Nothobranchius furzeri: one gene and its partners. The protein of the gene in region 5 purifies or fractionates together with the protein of the main gene of each other region. This does not show direct contact. Links are inferred from orthologs where the notes say so. Each region holds a gene or a part of one and is shown on either strand. Other genes may lie near its edges.

Region 1 (3,924 bases), on a different chromosome or scaffold from region 5:
ATGTCATACCGTGGTATGAAAACACCATGGAAACGAAACTAAAACCACTTCTTGCACAGTAGCGGACAGGACTATTTGATGTGATTAATCTGCGTTCATTTCCTCCAGGCTGCAGATCACAGCGGTGCTCTCCTCCAAGTACCCGTCCACGCTTCCCAGTCGGGAGCTGGTCCCGTTGCTGTCGGGGCTGTATCAGCTGCTGGCGGAGCAGCGGAGAGGGGAGAGGGGTCTGTACGTGCTGCGCTGCCTGAAGGAGGTGGCTCACTGTCAGACTCGACACCCACAGACGGCGCAGGCCCACGGGGCCGAGCTGGCCAGGCTCTGGGTCCGGATCTGGGCTCTGGCGTTGCGCGGGGTCAGCTCGCCCCAGACCGAGGCCCTCAGCCTAGACCTGCTGGCCTCCATTGTTCACTGCGGGCTGATCGACATTGACAGAGAGTTCTGGAGACTCTTCTGTGCATCTGCGTGTAAACCGTCCCAGTGAGTCCTGATTAAAACCCTAATAGCCGACGTTTGGTTGCATCACTAATTTCTTTTGCTGCTTTGTGTTTTATTTTGGAGGAGTTCTGCTCTCTGCCTAGCACAGGCTGTCCTGAGGTGTCCAATCCCAAATCGTCTCTCATCAGGCTCAAGCTGGGACAGCGTGGGAGGCGCTGATGGGTGCGTGAAGGAGACGCTCATAGCCTGGTTGCTGATGAGCGACCAGAACGAGGAGACTGAGGAGAGCTGCAGACCTCACCCCATCATCTGCAGGTTCTTACTCCTGATTCAGGATCTTCTTACTGAATGAGGTGAACTGACTTTTACAGTCACTGTTCTCGTTCACAGAGACTTTCCTCACAACCTGATATCGAACATCTTGGTCTCACTGACCCTCAAAGACTCCAGGTTAGGTTTAAAGTTTCTGCTGGGTTCTGACGGAGCTCAGAGGTAAATAAAAACACCCGTCTTGCTTCACCTCGCGTTGTCGTCTTCCCACCCAAAATAACCGTCTACTCGTTTAGCTCCTCCTCTAAAGAACGGGTGTCCTCTGGTGCCAAAGAGGACCTGGAGGTGATTGAGAGACTCTATCACCAGTTTAGCTTCAGCGTGTCGCCATCAGAGACCAGAGAAGCTGAGGACGAGTTGGGGAAGACGACGTCGGCCAAGAACCGGTTCGCCATTGTTCCTGGCCTCTGGAACCAGCTGGAGCAGCTTCTGCTCGCTGTAGCGGATGGTCTGCTTAACTGCTACTCTCCTGATGTGAGTGAACACTGCTAATCGTCGTCCTCACAGGAAAAAAAAACGATTCTTAATTTGAACCTCCCCTTGTAGTCCGAGTCCAGCCCCCCACAGTGTCTGGTGCGCTGCTGCAGCCAGCTGACGGGTGTTCTGGCTGGTTACGTCTCCACCGGGGTCCTGAGCAAGGAGGAGGCCTGCTGCTCACAACTCTTCTCCAAAGCAAAGGTTCACCCACCAGAAGTCATCAGTCACAGGTGATCCGCCATATCCAGAGGAGGCTCGTGTGACCGCTGATATTCTGGGGTGTTCGTGTTTCCAGGCCTTGGCCCAGGACCTCAGCGGATTTGTCTCCAGCATCAAAGTGAAGATGAGCGAGGAGAGGATCATGTCCACAATGAGATCGGTTATGAAGCTTTGCAGACAGAATAGCAGCAGGAAACTCAAGGTAAAAAAACCCGTTAAGATGAGTCGTGGTTTAACAGTTCAGCTGACTGAATACGTGGATCTCTGCTAACAGGACGGCGTCGGTTCCATCTCCTCCGGTTTGTTTATTTTGACCCTGCCCGCCAGCCTCCTGGGTGAGCTGGCAGAAATCTGCAAACTGCTGGTGAGTCTCATCTACACTGGCTTCACGATGCTGCGTGACGAATACAAAAACAACCTTTTTTTATTTTGCACATTTAAGTTGAGCAGCGCTCCGAGGAAAGTCAGCTCTGTCGATGACGACGAGCACATGGACGATGACTGGGAAACGAGCAGAGCCGAGCCCTCTGGGAGCGACTTTGACCTGTTTGATGATGGTGAGGACTCCCACAGCAGCACCAACGGGACCCACAGACCCCAGGGAGACGGCACCGACACCTCATGTGGCCCAGGTGACGGGAACACAGAAACACACCTGGTTCATTTGTTTCTAAAGCTTGTGTGGCCGATCACCTGCTGATTCCAAAAGCTGTGGAGAATCTCCTTAAACTACGTTTAAAACGTAAAGACCTTTTCCTGTGGGTTTTAACAGCATTTCACGAGTTTATTCCTCTCACTAATTGTGTTCTTTATTCTCTGGGGTTTATCCCTGTTTTCATTCATGCATTTGTTAGATTTACTGGTGAAGTTGTGCCGTGCAGCACTCTGGATGTGTTCAACATGCTTTCTGTTGCTTCCTGAACACACCAGGTGCTAAGAGCCTGCTAGCGGAGGAGTTTCTGGCCCAGCAGGACCTGGCTTTGCTCGCAGCCCTGGAGTTCCTGTGTGAGTGTGGTTCTGCTCGGCCCGTCCATGGCCTGCTGTTTAAACCGCAGGAGGTGCGCCGCAGGCTGCTGCTGCTGCTGGAGCAGATAGACTTCAGCAAAGCCCTGCACCTCCACATGGTGAGTAGCAACCAGCCTGGGGTTGAAGGTCACAGGTTAGCTGCAGGCGCTAACGTATCACCGTCCCGTAGTATCTCGTCCTGCTGAAGGAGCTTCCTGCTGAGGATTCGTTGTCTCCAGAGGAATTTGACTCACTGCTCCGTCCTCTGGCGTAAGGAGACGTTCCTGCTGTCCACGCTAGTGTCCTAGAATCGAAAAAGGATGTTTTTGATAGATAATTTGATGTATTTGTGGCTTTGCTTGCAGGGACATGTGTTCGATGTATCGTCAAGACCAGGAGGTGTGTGCTGCCATCCTGCTCGGTTTGTTACCTTCCATAAAGAGTCTGGGGAGGACACGTCACACGCCCGAGGACATGAGACACGTTCAGGGATCTGTTCTTCAAGTCGTCTCTGGCTTCTGGTCTGAGGATGTGTTTTTTTTATTTTACACCTTTTCAAAAATATAGTTTTACATATGAATAAAAAAATTAATATATATAAAAATATATAAATATTATAGATATTTAATATATGTATATATAAATATGTGTATGTATGTGTATATATATATATATTTATGTATATATTTATATATATGTGTGTGTGTGTGTGTGTGTGTATGTGTATATATATATATATATATATATGTATAAAAATATATATATTTTCATTTTATTGATATAATAATTATTTTATTTTTATGTTTTTACAAACTATGTAATTACTTATTTACTATTCCAATATTTAATTACAAATATTTAAGTTACTCCCCTGCGAGTGAGTGAGTGAGTATTTCTGAGCTCTTCCACTCGATAACTTTTTTTGTTTCAGCCTCCTGAGCCAGTCGGGGAAATGCGTGGCCCTGGTGAGAGCTGCTTTAGTCCAGTGTCTGGTTGCTTTGCTGGAGGTAAACTCACTTTACTTTGCTTCTAATTATTCCAGCATCACAGAAAAAAAACTCAAAACAAAAATCCTAAAAGACTAGAGAGACTGATTGAGGCCTACATGGTAAGATGAGTTCCTTCACGGCTTTGTCGTGCTCAGGCTGACCCGTGCTGCAGCTGGGCCATCCTGACTCTCGGAGACGACCCCGTGTCTTCTGCTCTTCCATCCCACCTGGCAGACGCCCACCACCGAGTCCGTATGCTGGTGGCCGTGTCGCTGGAGAGGTGGGTTCAGCCAGTTCTTTTTTATTGTTCTAGTTTTCTTACATTAACACTCGTGTACCCGTCCTCCTCTATATTCAGACTGTTTCTGGATATGAGACGGAAGGATAAGAAGACGATGCTGCCACTAAAACTCCAACAAGCAGCGTTTGAGAACATTTATCTGAAGGCTCAGGAGGGCATGAAGTT
Region 2 (4,434 bases), on a different chromosome or scaffold from region 5:
AGGCCAAAATAAGCATTGCTTCTGCCTATTCCTTTTTTGGTTGTAATTCATGACGTTATCGTGATGTATCTTAGTTGTTTGAAGATCTTCTCTGTAAACATGACAACCAAAATAAAGGATCGATCAATCAATAGCCTGGTGCTGCCCAGGATAGAGAATTGCTTTGGATTGATCCAATCAGCTGGTTTCTATTATAGAAGCAACTTTGACTGATTGGAGATGTAAAACCTTATGGACCTGATTCTGGTGCAAGGTGTTAACTGGTTTAAATAAATATTTGTCTCAATGTCTGTAATTCATTCAGTTACCTGGTTTAAAAGTGGATTCATTTGGCTATTAATCAGTCTCACTGGAAGAACCTCACTCTAGCTCCAGGATGCTGAGAGCACTGATGCATTCTGGGATTGTTTAACTTTGTTTTAAGAACAAAAAGAAATCCAAGCATGCATGTTTATCATTGGACCAAAGCAATAAAAACAAATGATTACAATTAAATAATTGAAATTAAATGTTAAATTAATTTTACCTTAAGGTTGTTGAAACCTGATTATGTAATCAGAGCTCTTTATACAATGTAGTCAGAAAATATTTAGCTAATTCTTCCATTAAAAATCTTTGATTCTATAAATTGTTTTTAGTCAAGCTGACAAAACTGAATAACAGTTTCAAATGCAGTGACTTTCACTACATTGACCTTTAAAGGCTTTAAATGAGAGGTTTGGGTGGTTTTCAGCTTCATCTTGTGATTCTGAGTCAGCAAGTCATATGACTCATGCTGCTGCTGATTGGCTGCAGCGGCTGGGTGACATCACAGATGCAAACAAACATTTGATCAAAACAGAAGCTCATGAGACATTTGAAAAGAGTGATGCAAGGATGACTCAGGTGTTTGAGGAATACTGAGAGTTTGACTTATGTTTTACATTTCATATCCCATCTAATTGTTTACAACTGGACAGCAGAAAATCAGCTTGAATCTGGACTGATTAGAGCAGGATTTGCAGATTGCTTTCGTTTTAGCTGTAGATTAATTCTGTAAAAGTGTGTATGGGTTCTTGACTCTGTTGTAGTAATTACGGACTGGGGTTATCTTCAGCAGATAATTAACAGAAAAAGCATGTCGGGGTTGAAACCAAAGCTCAGTTAAAACACACACAAACATGCATGTTTATGTTTCTCTGCTGGATTTCTAGACCTGCAGTTGCGTTCTCAGCTGGATCCACTCATTTAGGATTTTCATATTTTTTTATTAATAAACTACAAATCAATCACTTTTCTAACAAATAAAACAATGTGCCACGTCACAATGACTAAGCGGCTTTCCCAACTAACACCTGCTCACGTGACTAGTTGGAAAGTCCCTCACCGTGCTGTGTAAAAAGATGTTTCTAGACGGCAATGGTCCCTCATTAGCGGAGCTCAATGAGGACCAATGGGAGGCTGTGTGCGTCTTTACGTCATCTTAAGACGATGACATAGAATGCGGAAGTAAACATAAAAGAGGCTGAAATTTACCGCTGCGTCACAAAGTTCTAGAGTTTGGTTCTCCGTTTGGTTGTTTTTCTGTCTCTGTTCGGAGTTTGGTTCGATTGAGTTCGTAATGTCGGTGACGGTGAAAGCCTACTTGCTGGGAAAGGACGAGCAGGTGAAGGAGATCCGCAGGTTTGCGGTGGACCAGGACGTCTCTTGCAGCTTCGAGTACCTGAGCAGGAAGGTGGCGGCAGCTTTCTCCAACCTGAGCAACTTCAACCTATTCTACAAGGGTGAGGCGCTTATATCAGAGCTGGTTCTGTTTCAACCCAAACACTGACTGGATTTCTGCTGCGTGTCTTTCTGGTTCTGGATTGTTTTTAATATTCTGATGAATGATGTTTGGTGCCACCTGATCTGTGCTTGGACTTGATGTTTGAGTTATGGTGTTTTAGATGAAGATGGAGACCTGGTGGCCTTCTCCTCTGATGATGAGCTGATGATGGGACTGGGTTTTGTCAAGGACGCCACCTTTCGCCTCTTCATTAAAGGTAAACAAGTCGTCTTCCTGTTATTTCTTTGTAAGGTTCCATCTGACTAAAGTTTTGTTGAACTCTTGCAGAAAAGAAGGAGCACCGCCGGGACTTCCCTCTTCATGCATTCCCCCCTTTCGCTTTCGGGCTCCCTCATCAACATGGACCTCCTCATGCCCCACCTCCTCACCCGGGCCCGCCCCCTGCCGTCCATCCCAACGTCACCTGTGACGGCTGTGAGGGCCCTGTGGTCGGAACGCGCTTCAAGTGTTCAGTGTGTCCAGACTACGACCTTTGCTCCACCTGCCAGGCTCGAGGGACCCACACTGAGCACCCTCTGCTGCCCGTGTGGCACCCTCTACAGGTGAGTAACCTGGATGACAGGTGTCAGAGCTCAGGTCACCACTGGCAGGTGTCAGAACAAGTCACATTTCCTGATTAAAATGTGATAAATCGGTGGTTTTCTTAAAATTTTATTTAGCAGTGGTTTCCTCGAGGAAAATGGATGAAAAAGATGAAACACTGCACGTGGAACCAGCACATGGCCCAGGCACAGACCCAAAACCAGGACCAGAACCAGAAGCAGGAGCAAACCATTCCCTCCAGCTCAGCATCTGACTGCAGCACCTCCTCTGGTAGGTGATGTGAACAGATCTGTGTTTATGTACAAACTGGTCATCAGTCAAAAGGAGTCCAACTCAGAGCCATTGTCCAATAACAGAGACTGACCTCTGACCTCTGTAGCTTCTCAGGTCAGCGTGAACTATTTGAAGAACATTGGCGAGGGCGTGGCTGCCATGCTGAGCCCACTAGGTGAGTTGTTTTACCTGGAGATGTTTTTAATGTGCAATAAACAAGAGGGAACTCATCCTAATACGCACACGAGTGTCATTCAGACATTTAAAGTCATTTTAAAGTGCTGTTCTGTCAATTTAGATTCCAAACTACTGTTTCTAGGAATAGGAAGTCCTCTGACCAGAGCATTACTTTTGGCTAGCTGGATCTGTGACATTAGAAGCTAATTTCCAGGATTAGCCAGAAGAAAAACCTCAATGTCCTGCTTTTCCTAATTGGCTGCTCCACTTGGGCAGAGTGAAAACCCAATGGCACACAGGCAGTAGCAGTAGCATAGTATTTCAAACGTTATTAGAATAAAACAAACAGCATAAACTAAAGAAACAATCTCATGTAAAATTGTAGGGCTTTAAAAACTGCTAATATAGCGTGCTAACGCGTCACTATGGGTTGTTTTTAAACACCAGAAACGATGTATTATTTCATTACCAAGCTGACTAGTTAGCCTCTGTTCAGAGGAGCACTTTGTTTCACCTTCGGTGATGTCACCTGCAGGCAGTGTCTGTACTGTAGATATATGACCTATTGACCATCCCTTCAGAAAGATCAGAATATCACATTTAACCGTTTCTATTAAACTTCCTGACAACAGAATCCTGATGAAGTAGGGACTTTATCTGTGCATGTGCAGGTATTGATGTGGACATCGACGTGGAGCATGAGGGGCAAAGGATGAAGGTGACTTCACCTACTCAAGGTGAGGAAGAGCAGGGTGAAGTGCAGATGGATGTGGGAGCTGGCGAAAGTGGAGCCAGCAATGAAGGTGGAGCAAAGCAGGGGCCAAAGGTCAGTCTTCCTCAGACAAAAACTAATAGATCAGTCTAATTAATGACAATTACTGACCAAATACACAAATCTGCAGGTGGGCCGAGATGAAGATGATGAGTGGACTCATCTCAGCTCTAAAGAGGTTGATCCATCTACAGGTGAGCTTCAGTCGCTGGAGGGCCAGGGCTCAGGCCCAAGTCCAAGTCCAGGTCCAGGTCCAGCTCCTCTGTCAGGGACCGAGGAGGGACCCACAGGTCTGCGGGAGGCAGCTCTTTATCCACACCTGCCTCAAGGTGAGTTCAGATTCTGCGGTTCAAGTTTTTTTTTTTTTTTGGTAGTCCTGTCCCTATTAAGCCCCTCCCCTTTGTCCCCCACAGAGGCTGACCCCCGCCTGGTGGAGTCGCTGGCGTCAATGCTCTCGATGGGTTTTACAGATGAAGGCGGCTGGTTGACTCGGCTCCTTCAGGCTAAAAACTTCGAGATTGGAGCTGCACTCGATGCCATCCAGTACGCCAAGCAGTCCCACCCACGCCAGTGACATCATTTGACTACTTTCTGTTTTTAGTCTGACAATTACCTGTCCACACCTAATAACTAATCACTTTTCTGTGTTTACCTTTTATTAAACTTTTGATTTGTTTCTAATCAATAAACGCATTTTAAAAACATGACTCTGAAATGTCTACGAATCGACTCATAACAATCCTAAACGAGCAGCTCAGATGTAAACGGCACAAAACACATTTAAAACTTAAGGAAGTCATCATCACAGCTGAAGTCTTCACCACTCTCAAACATGGAAAGAACA
Region 3 (3,924 bases), on a different chromosome or scaffold from region 5:
GTCCTGAAGCACCCAGATAATGTAGTGGGAGCCCAACTTCATCTGTGTGTAAGCGCCTCCATCGAGCTGATGACGGTAACTTTCAGACTTGACGAGACGCAGAAGAGGTCTTCTGATATCATCGCCACAAAGTCGCACGTGTAACAGCATCACAGATCAGCTGTGCCGCAGCGTTGTTGTCCATTCGGCCATTGTTCATATCCTGTTTTAACTCTGTCTGCTTCACTCCCACCAGCGTTTGTTTGCTATTTGTGTTGCTATAAGTTAACCGGAAGAACGCCTACACAATAGGGCGCATGTCGCCTCCAACTGTACCGGAACGGTACTAACGTCTTTACGGGGGTTGGTTTTCTAACGTACAGGTAAACTAGGAGAAAGGCTCCCAGTTTATTTTAGATCCATTCAGATGTGCGTGTAAACACGCTGAGTGGTACATCAGAGGGGTTTCCAGCAGGAACGGCCTGTTTAAGGTCAAAGGTCAGACGTTCTCTTTCAGGATGCTCTGCCAGAGCATGGTTCCAGCAGGTCCTTTGTGTTCTTCCTCACTTGACTCATGACCTCTGACCTTAACATTAGCCAAGTGACACCTGTAGGTAGGATGGGCCCAACATCTATAAATCGTGATATAATTTAAAGCACGTGCGGTAACACGACGTATTCTTTTCATTAGTTTATTTGTCCAAATAACCTTTCTGAACAATCTCTCACACCAGATGAGCGGCACCAGAACAAGTGCTGATGAAAAGGACAGAATGCCACTTAAAAACCGTTTAACGTGACAAAACGTCTCAAATGACTTTTATGTTCTTAAGGTTCTTTTTTCAAACTTTTCATCACAAATATTCTCATGACGTGAATAAAGATGAAGATATTTTAATGAAAAATGTAAAAACACAAATAAAATTTCTTTCTGATTAATTTAATAATTTTCAGGTTTTCTTTTGCTCATAGAAGTTTAGTGTTAGTCGTTAATAACTGCAGCTAAAACGATGCTTTGCAGCAGTTCTTTTTTGTTTGTAAAAGAGAACCCAAACCAGGTCCGTATAACCAACATAACTCCATCTTCCCAACGAGCACGCCTTCCTCCGTGCGCTGTGGCAAGCTGACACAGCATGATGATATTTACGCGCCGTCACTGTCGGACGGTAGAGTCAGCAGCTCTGCCCGCGGTTATTGTATCATATCGACCGGGTACACCATGCATCACTAGCTCTAAGGTGTTGTTGTTTTTGGTAGGCAGACATTCAGGTCCGTGAGCTCGCCCATGGAGGGTGTTTCATCGGTCTCTCACTCATTCACATCATGACTTTCATCAGAGTCAGAATGTTCCTGTTGGCTCGGTGCCGCTGGGAGGAGCCCTGCTGTTGTATCAGCAGTGAAAGTGTCACACTCATTTCATGCTTTTTCTTTGCAGCTGAGACAGCTTTCTCGTGTGAACCACCCAAACATCGTGAAGTTGTACGGCTCCTGTAAAAACCCGGTAAGAAGGGTGAAATGTTTTTGTTAGTTTCATAAAGTTTCAGAGGTTTATTCCTGGTTCTCTTCCACATTTAGGTCTGTCTTGTGATGGAATACGCAGAAGGAGGATCCTTGTACAATGGTGAGTCCAGATTCAGAACCAGAGAGCGGTTGTGTGTTCTAGGTGACCATGAGCACAGCCTGTCACACACATGAAGGCTGCCCCTAGCTGGTTAACATCTCTCTGCATCACCAGCAGTCCTTCTACCGATGTCTCACTCTCCTCTGATATACTGGTGCTACAGATGGAATATGGCTGCAGCTAGCATGCTGCTGCTCCGTCTCTCTCGTGTCTCTGCCTGTCGGAGGTCATCACATTCAATTCAATTCAAGTTTATTTATAAAGCGCCAAATCACGACAAGTCGTTTCAAGGGCCTTCACATAGTAAACATCCCAGTACAGGTCAGGTCATTAAGCCAATCAGTAACAAGTTTCCTATATAAGGAACCCAGCAGGTCGCATCGAGTCACTGACTAGTGTCAGAGTCTTTACAGCAATCCTCATACTAAGCAAGCATGCAGCGACAGTGGAGAGGAAAACTCCCTTTTAACAGGAAGAAACCTCCAGAGGATCCTGGCTCAGTATAAGCAGCCATCCTCCATCCATGTATGATGGAGCTTGATTATTAAGAGCTTTATATGTGAGAAGAAGGGTCTTAAAATCTATTCTGAATTTAACAGCTAGCCAATGTAGGGAAGCTAAGACAGGAGAGATATGATCTCTCTTTTTAATCCTCATCAGAACTCTAGCTGCAGCATTTTGGACAAGCTGAAGACTTTTAACTACATTCTGTGGACTTCCTGAGAGTAATGGATTACAGTAATCCAGTCTTGATGTAATAAATGCATGAACTAGTTTTTCAGCATCACTCCTGGAAAGGTTGCATCTAATCTAGGGCTGCAGCTATCGAATATTTTTGTAATCGAGTACTGTATCGAATCTTTTATCGATTAATCGAGTGCTCTAATACATGACCCTTTTGTGTTTGTAAACCAAAACTTCAGTACTTCAACTTTACTTCACAGTAAACAAATGCGAGCGGCTGCGGCCCAAACAGCACCAGAACCGCTCACGGCGCATGTGCAAACATGGCTCGCCAGCTGTTTCCCTATTAACACACGTCCGTTTTTATTTCTACACTTTTTTGTCTCACACTAACACGGATTGTCGAGAAAGCATGTTTGCCGTGGTTATGTCAAGTTATACTGATCACACAACATTTATTTACTTTCTTTTGTTTTCCTCTCATAAATACCCGTGTCCTCCTGCAGCGATCCCGAGGGACAACAGACGTCAATAACAACACAATAAAAAGTCTGACCTGTTTTGTAAAAAACGCTATTTTTAGCACATTTTTAGGTCCGACGTGTTGCTACCAGACGTACGGTGTGAGCTGAAACTGAGTGCTACAAATGAAAAAGTCGCACAGTGTCTGTAGAATATATAGCGGAACGTTTATGTTTACCCACACTGATGAGCTAAAAACCAAAGTGCACGTTATTTTATGAACTCTTACACTGCGGTCAGGTTAGCTGTGGCTGTAAATCACACGTTTCACTCTGGAACATTTGGAGTCAGGTCCAGCAGCTATTTTTCTGCTGGAGTCGGCGTGGAATGAGAAGTTGACCGCTGTGTAAAGGTTTATAAAGTACTGTTGTGTAAAATACTGTTTCAAAGCGGCTCCACGGAGAGACTCGGAGCAGCAGCAGAGCTTTGGAGTTGTGGGCCGTCCCTGGTGGTGCTGTAGAGACCTGCTGGGCCATGTTTGGTTTCCAGTCTTCCCGTTGTTTTGTGCTGCTGGTTTGTGTGTGATCGTGTTCTCTCGTCCACAGTGCTGCATGGTGCTGAACCCCTCCCCTATTACACTGCTTCCCATGCCATGAGCTGGTGCTTACAGTGTTCCCGGGGGGTGTCCTATCTCCATGGCATGAAACCAAAGGCTCTCATTCACAGGGACCTCAAGCCACCCAAGTATGCTCGTCTTCCTCACACCCACACTCCTACCACCCATTTCACAGCCAGCAGACTGATGTATTCCTCACAAGCGCTGCACTTACACTTCTCAGGTCATCATCGCTGGTTTTACAAACATGAGGGGCAGAGACTCATCCCCACAGGGTCTCGTATGCGTCTTCACACGAGGATCACGCCTCGCAGGAGGAAGGGTCGGGCGTTAAATGCTGATCTCATTACAGATCAGCCTAATAAACAGGCTTAGATCAGCTTTTCACACGCCAAAGATCTAATTGGGCCCTTGTTTTTTTTTTTTTTTTTTTTTTACCAAATCTCTTCCTTTTACATTATACTAAACCCGTTAATCACCTGTAGAACGTTCAGTGGGAGTTTCTGTTGAACAGCTTTTTGTTTCTCCCTGTTTTCTTCTGCAGACCTTATTTTAGGTTACC
Region 4 (3,689 bases), on a different chromosome or scaffold from region 5:
AGAAGATCACTGTGCTGCTGGACAGAGTTGCTGAAGGTGAAGTATTATTAGTACTTTACTGTACTGCAACAGTCCCATTCCTCCTTATAAAAGGATACTGACAGCGACAGCAAAAGGGAGACTGAGGATGGTTTGTTTCTGAGTGGGAAGATGGAGGTGGCAGGCTATTGTACCTGTATGTATTTATTTATTTATTTATTTATTTTTAACCAGCCATGTCACAGGCACATGTTGGAAAAACCCATTTACTCTACGTATTTGTGCACGTTACCTGGACATATAAAAGTGGACACCTGTGGCTTGTAGACGAGTGTGGCCCAGATTATTTACAACTTTTTATCCATTTGAAAAGTAAGCAGGTTGCGGCTTTTATTCAGGTGCTTATTAATAATATCAATTCACGGTTTTCTCGTCTCCAGATATGGGCCAGTTTGATGCCACCAAGGGTAAACAGGCTCTGGAGATCCGCAGCAGTCTGGCAGAGCGGAGAGCGCTGACCGATCCTATTCTGCCCGGCGACAGCGCCGATCTCGCTCACAGCCGGCTGTGGGCCAAAGCTCACGGTACGCCCACTAGCAAACACACAGCATGACATAAAACATGCTAATCTTCAGTTCTCAGCGTCCGGAGGTTGAACACGTCTCGCTCAGCCAGATGTTGGCAGTTATCGATCTTTACAGGAAAGACACACGGCCATGGGAGTTTCCTTCAACAGCTCAACTGTTGCATGAAGCTTGTTAGATTAACATCATATTCTTAGAAATAGTTGCCTAAACAAATCTGTAAACCATGACTCAGCTACTCTTGGGTTTCAGCCAACCAGTCGCACAAAACTAAAGATACCGTATTTGCAGCTTTTCAGGAGTCTGAGGAGATAAACGTGTCAGTGATTCATATTAAAAACTAAATCTAAGTTTTTAGTGTTGAATTCACTCAACAGCCTAAATCTAAATTATTCCTTCAAAAGCGTATTTTTTTATTTTTGTGAAAGCAATTTTTCTCAAAACTATTGAGATTTTCTCCTTCCTGTGTTAGGTATTTTATTTATTTTTAAACATCTTTATTCGGTTTATATCATGTATTAAGTTGAAGATTTAAAAATGTATTAATTCCATTTCAAAGTAACTTTAAAATTAAATGTTGACATTTAAAACTTTAAATGTTGCTTTTTTGCAGTAAAGTCATTTTTCTGAAGGAAAAACTCGTCTCCTTTATTGAAACTCGGCTTGATATGTGGCTGTATTAGCTCCACTAAAAGAATACAGTTTGACTTGAACTATAATGATGTTTATGCGTTTTTATTTCCCAATAAAAAGTAGCCTTTGGAATCCCGGAAAATGAAAACTTGAAGTTTTCTTGTTAATTTTTTGGGGGAAACGAGTTTAAAAATCGATTTATTTGCGTGGCTTCTTGGTAGATTCTCAGATTTGATATTTTACGTGGTTTTGGTTTTTAGTATTAATTATGGATAATTTTCATTACAAATAAATAAAATATTTTCTTTAAACATGATTTGTTTTTAGCAACTAAAACCTGGTTCCCAAAGTGTTTGCTTGTTGTTCCAGAACTTCCTGAGACGATGAGTCTTCATTTTGACTGCGGGGCTCAGATCAAGCTGGGCTTCGCTGCGGAGTTCTCCAACGTTCTCGTCATTTACACTCACATCATTAAGAAGCCAGAGGACATGTCTTTCTGCCAGGCTCATGTCACGGACTTCTCACTGGTGATGTCGCACATTTTCATCTGACAGTTGTGATTTCTTGGTTTTTGTAAACGTTAAAGATCGATTAGGTTTTGAGGTTGAAAAGTGTCCCTGCTTGTTTTCAGGATCTAGATGTGGATCCTAAAGAGATGAACAGAGAGACTCCAGAGGAGACGGGGATCTACCTGCTGTCCAGCAGTCTGCCACAGCACTGTCTGTACACCAGACTCAGCTCGCTGCAGAAGCTCCGGGTACAAAGAACATAGACTGATCAATTGTGACACTAAGGCTTACTTATTAAAAACTACAACAGTATGCATTAGGGTTTGATATTCTGCAGTCTGATAAAGATGCTTATAGTTCATAACAGTTCTTTTTTCCACAACAACAACACCAGAAACCCATTTTTTAATCGTTTGTTACAATCCTCCTTTGCTCCAAGGTTCTCTTTTAGCTCTGGAAGCATCTGGGTTGTTTCTCTTACTGAAAACTATTTTCTCTCCTAATATAATGTAACAGGAGGAGCTGGTTTTCACCGTGTGCCTTCAGGGCACTTTTGCAGCCATGGATGACGATCATCCCGTATACTGGTCCAGAAGTGTCAACATAGGAAAGCCACTGATCGCTAGACTGGACCTCCACCGGGCCATGCGTCGGAACAGCTGCCTGCAGACCTGCCCGATGCCCCACAGCCCTTCCCAAAGCCCATGTCACAGCCCGGGGCCTGAACACCACCAGCATCTCCTTTACCACGGGTCACACCAGGGCCAGGCCTTGAACCGCCTCTCCCCACAGCACCACTTGGACATCTATGAGCATCCTCAGGGTGCTGTGGGGGGCTGTGCGTTTTCCCGCTATGACCACTTTAGCCAATATGGCTACGATGGAGCGTGTGAGCCCGAACTGAAACTCAGCATCCCAATAGAAGCGACTGAGGACATCACTGAGCTGCAGACTGTGTTCATCAAAAGCCTGCAGCTTCAGCCCCAGTGAAACATGAGCTTTAAACCTCTTAAATATTTGTAAAAATGCTGCTGCTCTTCACGTCACAGGATGGAAAAACATGTTGTACTCTCGATTTATTAAGCATTATTTGTCTTAAGCTGTTTGTTGAAGGTTTTTTTATCAATATATTTTTGGAGAGATTAATTTTAGTAAAATAAAACTGCTGTTGTAATTTTTTCTCAGCTTCCATTTTACTTGGGATAAAGTATGGTACATTAAGTTTAAAACTGCTGGACATGGATTTTTAAAAAATGTAGATTTATTGCAAAAAAATGCCACGAAATTATGTATAAAGAGTTTGGCGACATCTAGTGGCCATTTAACAGATTACATCCAACTTTGTATCTCAGGAAGTGCAGGATGGGACAAAGCATAAATCTGTTTTATATGAATTACTCTGATGTACAAATCTGAAAATTCCATTTGTAATCAAATAAGTAAATTATTTTTATTGCACCTTTCACGGAGAAAACACACAAAATGCTTCACTGAACAAAAGCTACACGATATGAAATATCACAATTTATGAGAAAGCAAAATTAATTCTTTTGTCATTTATGCTACAAAGATAACCGTTTTCACCCAGACTCAGACTTTCTGGGGTTTAAATTACAGCTCATGTGGAAAATAGTTGGTCTAATTTCAAAGATTCCAGTTGGCACCATTCATTCAAACTCACCAATCTGTACTTCAAGGGTTGTTTTCAGATGGGTTAGGGTTAGGTGAACAAAACTAGAAGACCAGCTGGTCTTTGCTAAAGAAAAAAGCACACAGATGAGTTAGAGGTTTATGTGTATTTTAACTGTATTGTTCTGCAAAGTTCTTCATTTCAAAGCTGAACATGAATCTCGGTCTTTTAATCCTTCTGAACAAGTGAAGAACCTGGGTGTGATTTTTGACTCTGAGCTGACTTTTATCCCACACATTTAAAGTTTCACCAAAATAGGTTTTTATCATCTAAAGAACATCGCCAGAGTCCGCC
Region 5 (4,381 bases):
TGAGATCATTCAATCACATGGCTTCTCCTACCACTACTATGCTGACGACACCCAGCTCTATCCGTCATTCCCGCCGGATGAGCCCACAATTTCCACACACATCTCAGACTGTCTTTCTGACACGTCATGATGGATGAAATCTCACCATCTTGATCCCGACTCTGACCAGAGAATGCTGCTGTTGTGTCCTTGGGCAAGACACTAAACCCCCCTTGCCTGCTGGTGGTGGTCGGAGGAACCGGTGGCGCCTGTGCTCGGCAGCCTCACCTCTGTCAGTGCGCCCCAGGGCAGCTGTGGCTACATCGTAGCTCATCACCACCAGTGTGTGAATGTGTGGGTGACTGATCCGTGTTGAGGAGTAGCTACTCCTGTGATCAGCTGACCTGAGCGAACGAGCGGGCGTGTAGCGATGCAGTAGCTCAGACAGATAGGGAGGGGCCGGGCCATTTAAGCCCTTAAAAGCAAATAAAATCATTTTAAAATCAATCCTAAAATGAACAAGCAGCCAGTGCAGGGAGGCTAAAATGAGGGAAAACCTTTGATTGCCACTTAAAAGGCGAGCTGCAGCACTCAGAACCCTCTGAAGCTGAGCAAGGCAGGATTCACTGACTCCTACCTCAAATGCCAACATACTATTCTGATAGGAAGTGGGTGGTTGATTGTGTCGAGGCTGCTGAGAGGGCTAGTAGAACCAAAACCGCTGCCGATTTAGCATCAGCAGCTAAAGAAATGTTGCTACGGACAGCTAGAAGAGCAGATTCAGAGCTGTGCCGACAACAAGAAGCAGACTGAAAAACTCAAGGATTGGATTGTCATCTAGGAAAGTCTGGAACTGCATAAAAGCAGCATGTGTTGATCCTGATAAACTCAGCCTGTCGTGGACACCGCTCCTGCATCCAATCACCGTTACAGTAAAGGCTGAAATTACTGTTTGAATTTACTTTGTTCTTTTACCTCGATAACTCTAAACTTAAACGACTTCTGAAAATGCTAAATCAGACACACGGAAACCTAAAAGCCCCGCTGAGCATCTGGTAATACACACAAGCGTGACCGTCGTGTGTTTTTAGGTACCTCGAAGCTGCTGGTTGTCACACAACAATCTGGTCACCACTTCATTACCAGCGAACTCTGGTGGGACCCTGAGGACCCCCCCGCAGTCCTCTCCTGACATGTCCCACTGCATCGGACCATCAGGCTGCGGCTGCACCATTCCTGCAGAAGCAAAGGCTGGGAATTACAGAGATCTAATCCATTCACTTCTTCATATGAAGAACTCAGACTCTGGCGGTTCCTGAACCTGTTTCCTGGTTTCCTTTGGAGACTTGTTACACTTTTAGCTCATTTTTTAATAACGTCTAAAATCCAGCCTTCGTGGCATTTATTTAAACGGGCATTGGAGAAACTTTTTTGTTAGTCAAATTAAAACATATTGTGTACGTTGGTAAGAAAGACTAAAAAACCTGTTACCATCAACACTGCAGGTCAGTTCAAACCAGCAGAGGCAGGAACAGTTTGTTTCACCACCAACAGAAAATCATCCCAGAAACTGCAGAGTTCAGTCACTTCTTTACTGCTTTATGACGTCACACCTGTAGTGAGTGAATCTCACCACTGTGGGATTAATAAAGTCTATTCTATTCCTTTTTTTATGTTATTGTGGTCGCTCCGATTGTCATCTAATGCAACAACAGACAAAACAGCAACTTTTGCTGCTTCTGTAGCTCTAGTAAGAAAAAAGTTTCCCCTGGTTCGCTAACTACTTCCTTACTTATAAATATGGTTTCCAATAATCTACACATTGAAGTCAGAAGTAAATTAGAAAAAAGAACAATCAAGCAATTATCTGAGTCTACAGCCGATCGCTTTCAAATGCACAAAAATATCAGAAATACAAATGGTTCTAATTCTAGTTATCACCATGTTCTTATTGTTAAATTCACATTACTATAACATACCAAATGGCTCATAAAGATGAAAAAACAGGAAGTCACAAGGATCTCCTGCATGTATATTTTTCCCTTGTATGAATATTGTCCTTGTTCAATTAAAATTGTTATTATTTGAGAGACAGCAGGCTCAAATCGTGGCTGTGCTGTTTGATTTTAAAATAAGAAGTACATAAATATGTGATTAAAAGAAAAATAAAATGAAAAACGATCCTAAAAGCCACCATGGAACAAGTGAACATTTCAGGTGTAAGTAAGACCTGAGCATGACGTCTAGGGGGACTGGACACGTTTCAGCCCCGTTGGGGATCTGGAAACGTGAAACTTTCACTTTCAGTTTAAATGTGAATTAACTGTGTTTAATATGACCGGTTTGTGTCACGGCTCATTGGCGAGGTGCCAGAAGCCCTTCTGAACAGTTACACCTGAGAACAGGTGGTCATCAACCTCTTCTTATGGGACCTCAGCCTTGTCATTGTCATAAAAGTAAGATCAGGTGTCTGCTATGAAGAACATCACGATAACCTCAGCAAAGCTCACGTTAAATACTGTTTAGACAACATAGCTAACACACAGCTAACAGACACAAAACTTGTCTTACCTTTTTAAATTTTATGTCGTAAACAACAATTATCCAGTCTCAGACTCACAAACTACTCCCTTCACCGAGTTTAAAAGAGCAATCTGACTCAAACAGCTGAGATACAGCTAATTAGCTCAGTAAGCTAATATAGCACAACAACGGCTGGGCAAACGGACGCCTTTGGTTTCACATAAACACGGACCTACATCAACGGATCATGTGGCCTTCCTAAAGCATGTGTCCAGTTTTGAATCCTTTCCTTCGTGAGTTTAAGACTACCAGAGGTAAATCAGAGGCAAACCAAAGGTAAGCTGTCAGCTTTTCGACTGTTATTAGCGTGGAAAAATCGTGATATATCACCCTCAGTTTAGCCTTGTAGGCAGAACACCCGTGACTCGAACATCGAAAAACGTGTCGTTTATTTTAAGACGTTTAATTAACACAAATGAACAATAAAAAAGTTGACAAATTACAAGTGTGTGATCAAATCGAAATGGCTGTGAATTTAAATAATACCAGTGGCACATCGTATCTTTAAGCGCTGCAGAGGAAAACTCTCCTGTCAGTATTAACCCAGGGTGTAAACACTCCGTTCTCAGGAAAGCCCCTTCCTTGTTCCGTAGTGGAAGATGACGTCAGTGCGCTGCAGCATTTTGATGTCCGCTAACGTGAAGGAGGTGAAGATGCTCCCCATCTCTGCCGCAGCGGTTTCTCTTCTGGTGGCCTGGATTTACCCCAGCGGCGCGCTTTATTTCCACATCGGAGAGACGGAGAAAAAATGCTTCATTGAAGAAATTCCAGACGAGACGATGGTGATCGGTGAGCCGGTTAGCTTAACGCAGCTAACTAGCCGTCTTGCTAACAGCTGGTTGTTTAAAGATGCAGCAGATGACACCAATAGTTGTTTATTATTATTATTATTATTATTATTATTAGAGACTCGAGTCAGACAGGAAATTCTGGAGGCTTCAGCTGCGGGTTGTTCACCACTGAGGAGAAATAACGTTTAAATATCTGAAAATTCAGATCATTTAAGGGAAACATTCAACTTTTGGCCATTGATCTTTAGCTTGTTGTTTATTATCAATAAAATAAACATTTTCCTGTTTACGAAGGTATTTCCATCAAACCTAAACAAAAGATCTGTCAAATATCAAAATGAATACACAATCTTTTAAATGCAAAGAGGAGATGGGGTATAAATGTGAATGTTTATTAAATATTTCATTCATTGCTGGGATGATTTTATGAGATAAATACTATTATTACATCCATGTGTCCAATATTCCGTCCTAACACAGGACAGCAGATGTTAAGCTGGTTTATTACTGGCATCCAATTTGTGGATGATCGTGTGTGTGTGTGTGTGTGTGTGTGTGTGTGTGTGTGTGTGTGTGTGTGTGTGTGTGTGTGTGTGTGTGTGTGTGTGTGTGTGTGTGTGACAGGAAAGTACCGGACTCAGCTGTGGGACAAACAAACCACTTCCTTCCTCCCATCCACCCCCGGCCTTGGCATGCATGTAGAGATCAAGGATCCAGACACGAAGGTAAAGCCAGACAGGAAGGTCTGGAGGTTCAGAGCAGAGGTGTAAGTCTGAAGGTGTCTCCTCCACGTTCCAGATCATCCTCTCTCGTCAGTACGGCTCTGACGGACGCTTCACCTTCACCTCTCACACTCCTGGAGAGCATCAGATCTGTTTGCACTCCAACTCCACAAAGATGGCTCTGTTTGCAGGAGGAAAGCTGGTACGGAGACCAGGACCATGGCTTGACTTTTAACGGTTTCACTTTTCCACAGGTTGGGTTAAAAAAACCAAAGTAAATATTGTTTCAGTGTAGAAGTGACACAT
Region 6 (4,600 bases), on a different chromosome or scaffold from region 5:
ATGGTGGAGGTGATGTTTTAAAGTCACTGAGAAACTGCATGCATGCAGTTTGTTGTTTTGCTGCTAACACAGTAGCAGGTGCAGCTGCACGTTTGCAATAAAAATGTTATGTTGTAATAGAATTCATGCATTAGTTTTTGTTTGCTTTGAACCCAGAGCAGACATCACACGCCAGACGACACCAACACTGCATACTTTAGTATTTGTTCATTTATCGCAAGTAATATCGATATCGCAATATTAAGCACCGTTATCGAATATCGCAGGTTTTCCTAATATCGTGCAGCCCTAGTACACCCGCAAGTTCCGGTAAAATTACCATGAAGTCCCGGTAGTGGAAACACACCTAATGAACTCACAGGCCGCGCTGTTAATCCTTTCAGAGCAATAAATAGCCGGCTGTGAAAAGGGAAGGCACAGAGAAAAGAAAGTGCAGTTCAAGCATATGTAACTCTTTGCAAACAAGGCCCCCCCATTAGGGCTCACATTGCTGAAACAGCACAACAAGTGACAAACAGCCGGCTTTAATCCCAGCAGCCTCGGAACAACTCGGTCACAACAGAAAGAATGTCCCTTTGCATCTTTTTATGAGCATACAACAGATTACAACAAATTGGACATCTGTATAATTTCAGCTATTGCACGATGACACAACACACTTGACCATTTCATGAAAACTCTGAGATACACACGGGTATAAAAGATGCCAAGATGCCAGCAGATGTATTTGTTTCAGGCATATTCATGTGATTTATGAGAAACTATTATGGTATTAAATAATCTTCAGAAATTTTCTACATAATTAAACGACTAAACCAATTTGCTTCTCTGCAATATTTCTGTTGACAAACCTTTAATATTTATGAAATCTACACGCTGGGAATCAAACACAAATTCTGAGGAAAGTTTGTGTACTCTGACAGAAACAGATCCCTATGTCAACATGAGAAGCTGTAGAACACTGCTAAGTGTGCATGCACCTGCAGGGACATGTCATTACTTTAAAATACACATTAGAAGACAGGAAGGATATATACTTTTAATTGTTTTAATATAAATAAGCAATACAACTATATTTCTTAGCAGTGCAACAACTATTAAAAGTGGTATTTAAGTAGAAATAACCCAAAATGCAATAATTACTACCTGTTCACCATAAAAAATGTTTAATTCTGAAAGCCTGAAAATCAAATAAATCAAACATAACTTGTTTCTGTCTTTCAGCCTTTAGATTTGAATGACCATGCAAAAAATAAGCAGAACCAAATCTGCCATTATCAATAGAAACGGGTAAAAAGTATAACTGACAAGATTTTCCAGCATGACCTGTTTCCTAACCTTTATCTCTTCACTATAGAAGAAGTATGACCTGCTTTGACTGATGTTTGTATTTGGTAACCTATAAGTGTGTGCACACATTTTGTTATTCAGTTCACTTTAACAGCAGCTGCTTCATTCAAGAATTTAAATGTGAACAACAATTAAACAGGATTTTTTAAATCTAATAATGGTTGAAATTTGCTCAATTTAAATGGAGGGGAATCAATATTTCTCAGTAAATATTGACCATTTACCCCATGCCTAAAAGTTGACAAATACTCTTGTGATAAGAGAAATCAAATATTTCAGGGCTGATACCTGATCATTTCACAACGTAAATGTACTTTTGTATAAAAGGGGGAAAAAAGGCTGAAACTGAATTTAATTTATTTTATTTTTATTTTTTTGGTTCTCGTAAACCACTGCTTTGCTGAACAGTCAGCCAACAGAAATGCTCAGTTTGGGGCAGGAAAAGGTGTGAAAACATAATTTCCAGTGATACGTCGCTTCCTGTAATAAATATACATGTTTTGTTGAACATTTAATTCAAACGAACGGCTTATGACGGGTTCCTAATTGATGTGCTTTCGTTTAAATAAAACACTAACTTTGAGTCAAACACAACAAACCCCGGACTTACTTGCAAGTTACTGCATGCACACCTCAAAACGGGCCTTCCCACATGAAGGTTAGCCTCCACGGAATTAAAACCCGAATCTGCTTCCTACAGACTAACTTCTATCACACAGCGAGAAGAGCTAGTTTGCGTTTGCATACGCGAATTGCCCATAGCTAATTTTATCGTGTGTCTACTTACGTTTGCATAAAATGTCAAAATACGAATTAAGGCCCACGCTGTCGCACAGTATTCAGCTAACCAGCAAGCGAAATGACAGCAATGCACACCACCTGTGCAAAACTGCTAGCCTGCTAACAGCTAAATAAGCTCGAAAATGCATCTCATCTTTGGCTTTACTTCTGCTAGCATACGCCTACATTTGCTTGCGGAAAAATATCCGCGAATCGGAACTTGCACCTGATATTGGACGTGTATTCAGTAGTATTGATTTAAGAAAACAAAGTCGAGAAGGCCCGTGTCAGCAGAGCAGGTGGGCCGTGCAAACACGCAGCAGTTTCCTTTCCTGTGACTTCTCTCTTAACAAATAATTCATGACAATCGTAGAATCTGGTACCAAGCAATCCCTGTCGTTTCATTATGCGGGCTGTAGAACCGATTAGATGAAAAAATGCTTTCGTAGCTTTTAAAAATAGCAGTAAGCAGTACTGCTGGCTCATTTGAATGGAGGATCGCACGGCCTGTTAGCAATGTTACCATGCTGGTTGTGTTTCATTGGGAGGAGGGGGGGTGGATGGGGGGCATTAGCAAGCACTTTTCAGCACTACGAATTTCAATGACACGATCAAATCGCTGTTGTAAATGAAAACACACAACTTAGCATAACACGAATATGGTATGATAATTATTTGGTGAACATGTTTTTGCAAAAGAGAGGTGATCGTAAAGCTTTAAATAACGGTTAGATGAATTCCACATTCAGTTGTTTTACTGGCTAATGCTAGCCGAGCTACCTGGTTGCTGTAAGAAGCCATGCTCCTGGTGAGATTTTCTCCCCTCCGCTGACCAGATGAAAACTTCCCCGGGAAGGTGTTACGGGTTTGTAATAACTGCAAACAGTGCTCTACTTTGACGTCATTGTCAGTGGTCCATCGATGTATTTTCAGTTGAAAACTGTGATCCGTGTAATGCATCCGCACTTCATGGTGCTCGACTTGCCATATTCTTCGCTAGCTAGCCAAACCAGCGCGCGGTCGACGAGTAGCAGCGACGGCTCGTGGAGTGATGGTAAATACTTCCGTTAACGGTTAGCTTGTGCCTTCACAATAAAAACATTGGGAATGTCGTAAAGTTGTAATATTTTGGGCAAATTTATTTAAAAAAATTACCAAAAAATGGCATATTACAAAAATTGCAATTATTATTTACCTTTAACATTTCAGTCTTTATCTCTGAAGAAATATGTTTTTTTTATGTTTTCACAAACATGTTTCATAAGAGTTTCATATAAACTTGTTGCATTTAGTTTTACTTTGTACAATTTTTTTAATTATCAATGAAAAATAAATGAATAAAAGTAATTGTTACAACAGTGGGACTTATGTGGTATCAGCTTAGTAAAATTCGCCTTTTATTATTTCAGTCAATGTGATTCGAACTCCAGCAGAGCTTTGATAAGTTTCATTAAGTTTGTCTGTAGAGTTGTGTACTTGACTCAGGTGAAATTCATTTCAGCAGTGCCCGCCTCATCTTTAACATTTTGATTTAATTGTGGGTTTATTCTTTGCAAAGGTCCCTGTCATTTGTGTAATTCCTCAAAGGTCCATCTTGGGGCCAGTTCTATTTACATTATGGGTCCTGTATCCTATCTTTCACATTTTTTAATCATCATTTAGAAAATATCCTGATCTAAATGCCCTTTAAGAAAAGAATAGAGAATAAATTAAATTTCTTTGAAGAAATGATATCTGCAATAAACTGTCAAATAATTTGAAATTAAAATTTTTAATGTTAAAAATAAAAAGCTTCACCCCTACAACATAAACCCTTCCTATGAAAGTAAATAAATATAACTAATAAACATACACGTTTGTAATTTTGTAAGTAGCCTATAAAGCATTTTATTTTTTAATGAGACCTTGAAACAAACTGCCTCCTTTGGCTGTTAATTAAATCAGAATTAAACGAATAATGTGATACAGGACAATTTTTGTAGCTTTAATGTTAAATAGGTTAAAATAACAGACTATGGACATTGTCTGAAGGGTTCCACAACTAGACAATAGGTCCTATTTATTTACTTGTTCATTTAGTTGTTTATTTCAGCAGTGAACATTTTGTTTAATACAACAGGTAGACTATATCAGCTGTTAAAACTCTCGTATACAAAATGAAGAAAACAAATTTCACACGAATATCTCCAATCTGTTATTATTTCATATACTTTTATTATGAAAAGTCTATTTTCCTCGGCGGAAATGCTTCGGATGAAACGGGTAAATTCACTTCGCTTGAGCGCTGACCTCGTGGTCGTGTGTCGTCCGGGTTGTGGCATGAATTGCCAAATTTGGTGTTCTAGACATTAGTTTAACCGAAAACAAAAACTTTTATAACCGTTTTCAGTTTGATCTAAATCTTTGCGAAGAGGTTTCCATTTTTGTCCAAAACAGCAAAATAACAGCAGTTTTTTGTTTGGGAGTCCAC
Region 7 (3,924 bases), on a different chromosome or scaffold from region 5:
AGTCTTTAAAGATTCTTCTGTAATAAATTAAACAACCACTCCGTGGTAAAGCCAGTTTTGTTTTCACAGGTACTCGAGAGAGAGACACCGTGTGTGGCTGTAAGGAAAACTTCTACAGAGTCAGAAACAAGTGTGAACCTTGCAGGAAGTGAGTGCATCGCTGTCCGACGAGTCCTTGGTTCTCGTTTTGTTTCCATCTTCGAGTTTGGGAAGGTTTTTTTGTAACATTTTAATTAAGGAAGTTGGTTTGTAGAAATGAAACTTGCAGCTCACTTCCGACTTTGTTCAAGCTTTCCATTTGTTAGCAATACAGGAGAGAAGTTATGACACACACGTCTTGAGACTCGCTAAAAAAAACCTTTCTTATTCGCGTCTACTAAAAGTCTGTTAGCGTATAATGACCTCTCTTATCTTCTCCTAAAATGCTGCGTTGAGTGTTTTTATTTTTGGTTCTTATAGTCGAAGATGTTTGACACAAATCAAACAAGGAAGCACAAAAACTTGCAGCTCAAACTTCCTATATTTCTGTCATGTTTACATCCTGGTTTGCATAAACATAAGAATCTTTCTGAGTTACTGGGACAGTGACTGGTTCAGCTCAACTTTCTGTGTAGTCGAACTTTGAAACCAGAGCTACAGAAAGCTGGAGTTAAAAAAAATACATGTCAGCCTTTGCGTTAATCACTTCCTCTGAAGACATGCTACTTCCTCCTTGGTGCAATGAAACATCCTGTTTATCCTCCACAGTTGTACCACAGGCTGCTCACAACACTGCATGTTGGAAGTGGCGACAGAAGGTGAGCGCCAACCAGGTGACATGACGCACTTGTTTCTTCTCTTGCCATATTTCCGTGTTCACCGTTTGAGTTTTCCATTATTCTTTCAAGACCAAGTTCACTCGGTTTTGAACCACATTTGCAGTGGTCTCTAGAATAAATGAATGCCTTGTGCGTCGAAATCTGTGGGGAAAAAAAAAAGCTCTAGCGCTCCTGTTTCAGAACTGGAAGTTAGCCAGAGCGGAGGTGAGCAGAACACGGCAGGATTTGGAGTCTTATTTCCTGATATTCAGACATCTCCCCTCTGATTGGATAACCGTAATGGGACTCTACCACTGACTCTGTTCTGCAACGCTGATGTTTTATCTCCACAAATAACACAAGCCTCAAGGAGTTCTGCTGGGTGGTGGAGTTGCTAATGCTAAAGGTTAGCTTCTGCTAGTTGAGACATTCTCTACTGTTTCCTGGATGTTAAAACCACAAAACCCTTTCCGTCACGAGTCAAGATGGGTGAGTCCATGAATGTCAAGTGACAGTGTGACATAGATCAGTCAGGATTTTCAAATTCTAGCAATTCACCATCAGAAGCTAATGCAGGAGATAGGTGTAGGAGCCTATCAGCGTGCACGGTAAACTCACAGTGACTGATTATATTTCATTTTTTACAAGTTGAAAACGGCTACACGGTGGTGCACTGGTTAGCATTGATGCCTTGCATCGGGTCAGAAAAAGCCACACAGATCTATCACCCAATAATTTTTATTTTTCAACTTTATTTTCATTTATTGACAATAAAAGAAAAATACAAAACTAAATTGCTAACAGCCAAAATGAAAAAGGGGACAGAAAGAAGAAAAACATATGTTACCTGCCACTTTAAACTAAAATAACATTAATACAAATGAAACTATCATATGATTCTTAAAAAATTTGAACAATATCGTTTCTGGACTGGTTGGCCGACACAACCTCAACCCATGAATTGAAAAAAAAAAAGAGAAAACAAGTTACACAGAAAGAAGCATAAAGTTATATACCTATATACATACATATATACACATATGCATACATACACTTGTTTCCTTTTCCCTCTATTTATTTTTTTTCTTTCATCCCCCCCCCCCAACCCCCCTCCCCTCACGCGTTTATGTAACAGGTCTATATAAGTTAATAATTTCATTTTTTTATCTCTTTTTTGAAAGTCAATATTGTTTTTGCATTCTTGATTTCAGTATTTAATTTATTCCACATTTAACTCCATATATGGGCACACAATGTTCCTTTATGAGTATCCTATGTCTAGGTATATTAAATAATTCATGTCCTTTTAAATGATATTTGCTATGTCTTTTTGTAAATCTGTTGATTAAACCTGCAGGTGTGTACCCTGTGTTTGCATTATACATACATTTTCAAATATTGTAGTCCACCAGATCACAGAATTTTAGTGTTTTTAATTTTATAAATAATGGATTGGACGGATCTCTGTAGTTGCATTAATCGGCTCACCCATCTTGGCTCGTGACGCGGAAGGCAGATTATTTTTTTTTTTGCAGCCATGAAAAAGCAGAGCACATCTCAACTAGTAGAAGCTAACTGATAGCATTAGCTTTTCCCCAGCATGGCAAAACTCCTTCAGGCTTGTTTATTTGTAAAACATCAGAGCAAATGGAGGCAGTGAAAGACTCTCTTTGCTGTTAGCCAATCAGAGGCGAGACGTCTGAATATTGTGAATATTAATGAGGAAGGCTCCAAATCCTGCCGTTTTCTGCCCCTCTCTACTTCCTGAAACAGTTGCGCCAGAGCTTTTGTTCCACAGAGAATGATTGACAAGGCGTTTATTTATACTAAGGTCCACTGCACACTTATTGCAATAATGGGTGAATGAGACATTCAAGAGAGCAAAACACTTAACACTAACCTATGAATCACTGAGACAGTCTCCTGAACCTGATGATGATTCATCGTTGTGTCAACACAAATCAGCTCGGCACAGATCCTGTTTTAAATTGTACGTTTAAGCTCTTTGTTACTTTAGTCTTGTGAAAATGAGGGAACATGTTTCCAATTCTTTAGCTGAGTGCATGGCAAAAACCTGAGGCGACACATAAAATAATATCTTAGCATTGTCAAGCTAGTTTTCTAAGAGATATTGGCTGAAAACCTGAAAATCTGCTTGAGGATTATGAATTTTCAGGTCCTGTTTTTGGAACTTTGCTGGATTTTTTTATTCTTTTTCCCTCCGATAGATTTATTCTTTAGACCTGACACTTCTTCTTTTGCCCTCCGCTCGTGCAATTCCCTTATGTTATAAGCATAGACCACAAAATAAACCGTCACGGTCAGGAACAAAACACGATTCAACGTTTAGAAAGCCTGAAGACTGGCCAAGAACATTTTAAAGGATCACATTCAGGTTTGGTTATTGGTGCTTTAAAACTTTTGCAGTGTGTTTGTAATGTTCTGTTTTATAATATGCATTTATTTTGTTTTTCCATCCAGGCCCTGAGCCCAAAAATCACCTGCTAATAAATCTAGTTGCTGGATCAGTAGTTGTGGTGCTAGTCTTGCTGGCGTTGGTGGTTCTGGTCACCTTCTTGGCTACAAAACGGTTCACCAAGAAGAAGATGCCGACTCTGTCCTCCCAGACTTCTGAAGTTTCCGTGGAATCCGGAAAGGTATCTTCACCCAACAGTCTGAGGTTCTCTTGATCGGTCTGATGAACGCTTGCGGTCAGTCATGTGTTTTCTACTCTCGTCTCCAAGCATCTCCTGATCTACGCTGAGGGACCTCCGCAGAGCATCTGTTTGAAAGCAGCCGCTCAAAACCCAGTGGGTGAGCTGGAGCTGTCCAAGCTGCCTGACTGCGTCCCCCTAGAGATTAAGAGTGAGTTGATAGCAGTCTGCTCTGACTTCGACATGCAGAAACCCACAATGTGAACTCTGACCGTGCTCTCCTCTTCTGCAGTCCCAGAGCTGATCTACGCAGTGCTAGATCTGGTTCCCGTTCTGCAGGTGAAGCAGCTGGTGCGATGTCTCGGTGTGAAGGACACGGAGATCGAACGAGCCGAGATGGACCACAGGTCTTGTCGGGAGGCTCACTACCAGATGCTACGAGTTTGGGCCCAGAAGGGCTCCCAGGAACTCGG

What was found.
Region 1: the proteins of ikbkg (region 5) and atm purify together in Homo sapiens (affinity purification with western blotting; 7 studies listed by BioGRID and IntAct, with this or other methods). This does not show direct contact. The link is inferred for Nothobranchius furzeri from reciprocal best matches to the Homo sapiens genes IKBKG and ATM.
Region 2: the proteins of ikbkg (region 5) and sqstm1 purify together in Homo sapiens (affinity purification with western blotting; 3 studies listed by BioGRID and IntAct, with this or other methods). This does not show direct contact. The link is inferred for Nothobranchius furzeri from reciprocal best matches to the Homo sapiens genes IKBKG and SQSTM1.
Region 3: the proteins of ikbkg (region 5) and map3k7 purify together in Homo sapiens (affinity purification with western blotting; 8 studies listed by BioGRID and IntAct, with this or other methods). This does not show direct contact. The link is inferred for Nothobranchius furzeri from reciprocal best matches to the Homo sapiens genes IKBKG and MAP3K7.
Region 4: the proteins of ikbkg (region 5) and malt1 purify together in Homo sapiens (affinity purification with western blotting; 4 studies listed by BioGRID and IntAct, with this or other methods). This does not show direct contact. The link is inferred for Nothobranchius furzeri from reciprocal best matches to the Homo sapiens genes IKBKG and MALT1.
Region 6: the proteins of ikbkg (region 5) and usp10 purify together in Homo sapiens (affinity purification with western blotting; 3 studies listed by BioGRID and IntAct, with this or other methods). This does not show direct contact. The link is inferred for Nothobranchius furzeri from reciprocal best matches to the Homo sapiens genes IKBKG and USP10.
Region 7: the proteins of ikbkg (region 5) and tnfrsf1a purify together in Homo sapiens (affinity purification with western blotting; 4 studies listed by BioGRID, with this or other methods). This does not show direct contact. The link is inferred for Nothobranchius furzeri from reciprocal best matches to the Homo sapiens genes IKBKG and TNFRSF1A.

The regions. Positions count from the first base shown.
Region 1 is NC_091753.1:29,148,984-29,152,907, reverse strand, and holds part of atm (serine-protein kinase ATM), read left to right. Parts: coding exon 1-13; intron 14-108; coding exon 109-480; intron 481-561; coding exon 562-753; intron 754-828; coding exon 829-930; intron 931-1,004; coding exon 1,005-1,242; intron 1,243-1,314; coding exon 1,315-1,446; intron 1,447-1,540; coding exon 1,541-1,666; intron 1,667-1,738; coding exon 1,739-1,828; intron 1,829-1,906; coding exon 1,907-2,096; intron 2,097-2,394; coding exon 2,395-2,588; intron 2,589-2,659; coding exon 2,660-2,739; intron 2,740-2,834; coding exon 2,835-2,990; intron 2,991-3,400; coding exon 3,401-3,476; intron 3,477-3,613; coding exon 3,614-3,738; intron 3,739-3,816; coding exon 3,817-3,924.
Region 2 is NC_091741.1:64,353,365-64,357,798, forward strand, and holds sqstm1 (sequestosome-1), read left to right. Parts: upstream 1-1,369; 5' UTR 1,370-1,600; coding exon 1,601-1,763; intron 1,764-1,925; coding exon 1,926-2,021; intron 2,022-2,092; coding exon 2,093-2,367; intron 2,368-2,484; coding exon 2,485-2,638; intron 2,639-2,747; coding exon 2,748-2,816; intron 2,817-3,489; coding exon 3,490-3,644; intron 3,645-3,720; coding exon 3,721-3,919; intron 3,920-4,003; coding exon 4,004-4,164; 3' UTR 4,165-4,297; downstream 4,298-4,434. Other genes in the region: mrnip (MRN complex-interacting protein), read right to left, coding at 4,371-4,434. UniProt on the Homo sapiens protein: Molecular adapter required for selective macroautophagy (aggrephagy) by acting as a bridge between polyubiquitinated proteins and autophagosomes.
Region 3 is NC_091743.1:91,287,461-91,291,384, forward strand, and holds part of map3k7 (mitogen-activated protein kinase kinase kinase 7), read left to right. Parts: intron 1-1,414; coding exon 1,415-1,480; intron 1,481-1,554; coding exon 1,555-1,600; intron 1,601-3,351; coding exon 3,352-3,490; intron 3,491-3,924. UniProt on the Homo sapiens protein: Serine/threonine kinase which acts as an essential component of the MAP kinase signal transduction pathway. Plays an important role in the cascades of cellular responses evoked by changes in the environment.
Region 4 is NC_091757.1:57,789,700-57,793,388, reverse strand, and holds the end of malt1 (mucosa-associated lymphoid tissue lymphoma translocation protein 1), read left to right. Parts: coding exon 1-36; intron 37-419; coding exon 420-563; intron 564-1,565; coding exon 1,566-1,723; intron 1,724-1,827; coding exon 1,828-1,953; intron 1,954-2,221; coding exon 2,222-2,695; 3' UTR 2,696-2,884; downstream 2,885-3,689. UniProt on the Homo sapiens protein: Protease that enhances BCL10-induced activation: acts via formation of CBM complexes that channel adaptive and innate immune signaling downstream of CARD domain-containing proteins (CARD9, CARD11 and CARD14) to activate NF-kappa-B and MAP kinase p38 pathways which stimulate expression of genes encoding pro-inflammatory cytokines and chemokines.
Region 5 is NC_091755.1:44,541,968-44,546,348, reverse strand, and holds the start of ikbkg (NF-kappa-B essential modulator), read right to left. Parts: upstream 3,074-4,381; 5' UTR 3,049-3,073; intron 2,876-3,048; exon of another isoform or gene 2,551-2,875; intron 1,216-2,550; 5' UTR 1,214-1,215; coding exon 1,075-1,213; intron 1-1,074. Other genes in the region: tmed4 (transmembrane emp24 domain-containing protein 4), read left to right, coding at 3,162-3,351, 3,978-4,078, 4,152-4,277. UniProt on the Homo sapiens protein: Regulatory subunit of the IKK core complex which phosphorylates inhibitors of NF-kappa-B thus leading to the dissociation of the inhibitor/NF-kappa-B complex and ultimately the degradation of the inhibitor.
Region 6 is NC_091749.1:59,302,620-59,307,219, forward strand, and holds the start of usp10 (ubiquitin carboxyl-terminal hydrolase 10), read right to left. Parts: upstream 3,191-4,600; 5' UTR 3,091-3,190; coding exon 2,911-3,090; intron 2,430-2,910; exon of another isoform or gene 2,297-2,429; intron 1-2,296. UniProt on the Homo sapiens protein: Hydrolase that can remove conjugated ubiquitin from target proteins such as p53/TP53, RPS2/us5, RPS3/us3, RPS10/eS10, BECN1, SNX3 and CFTR.
Region 7 is NC_091745.1:73,838,611-73,842,534, forward strand, and holds part of tnfrsf1a (tumor necrosis factor receptor superfamily member 1A), read left to right. Parts: intron 1-69; coding exon 70-148; intron 149-747; coding exon 748-812; intron 813-3,278; coding exon 3,279-3,454; intron 3,455-3,541; coding exon 3,542-3,662; intron 3,663-3,743; coding exon 3,744-3,924.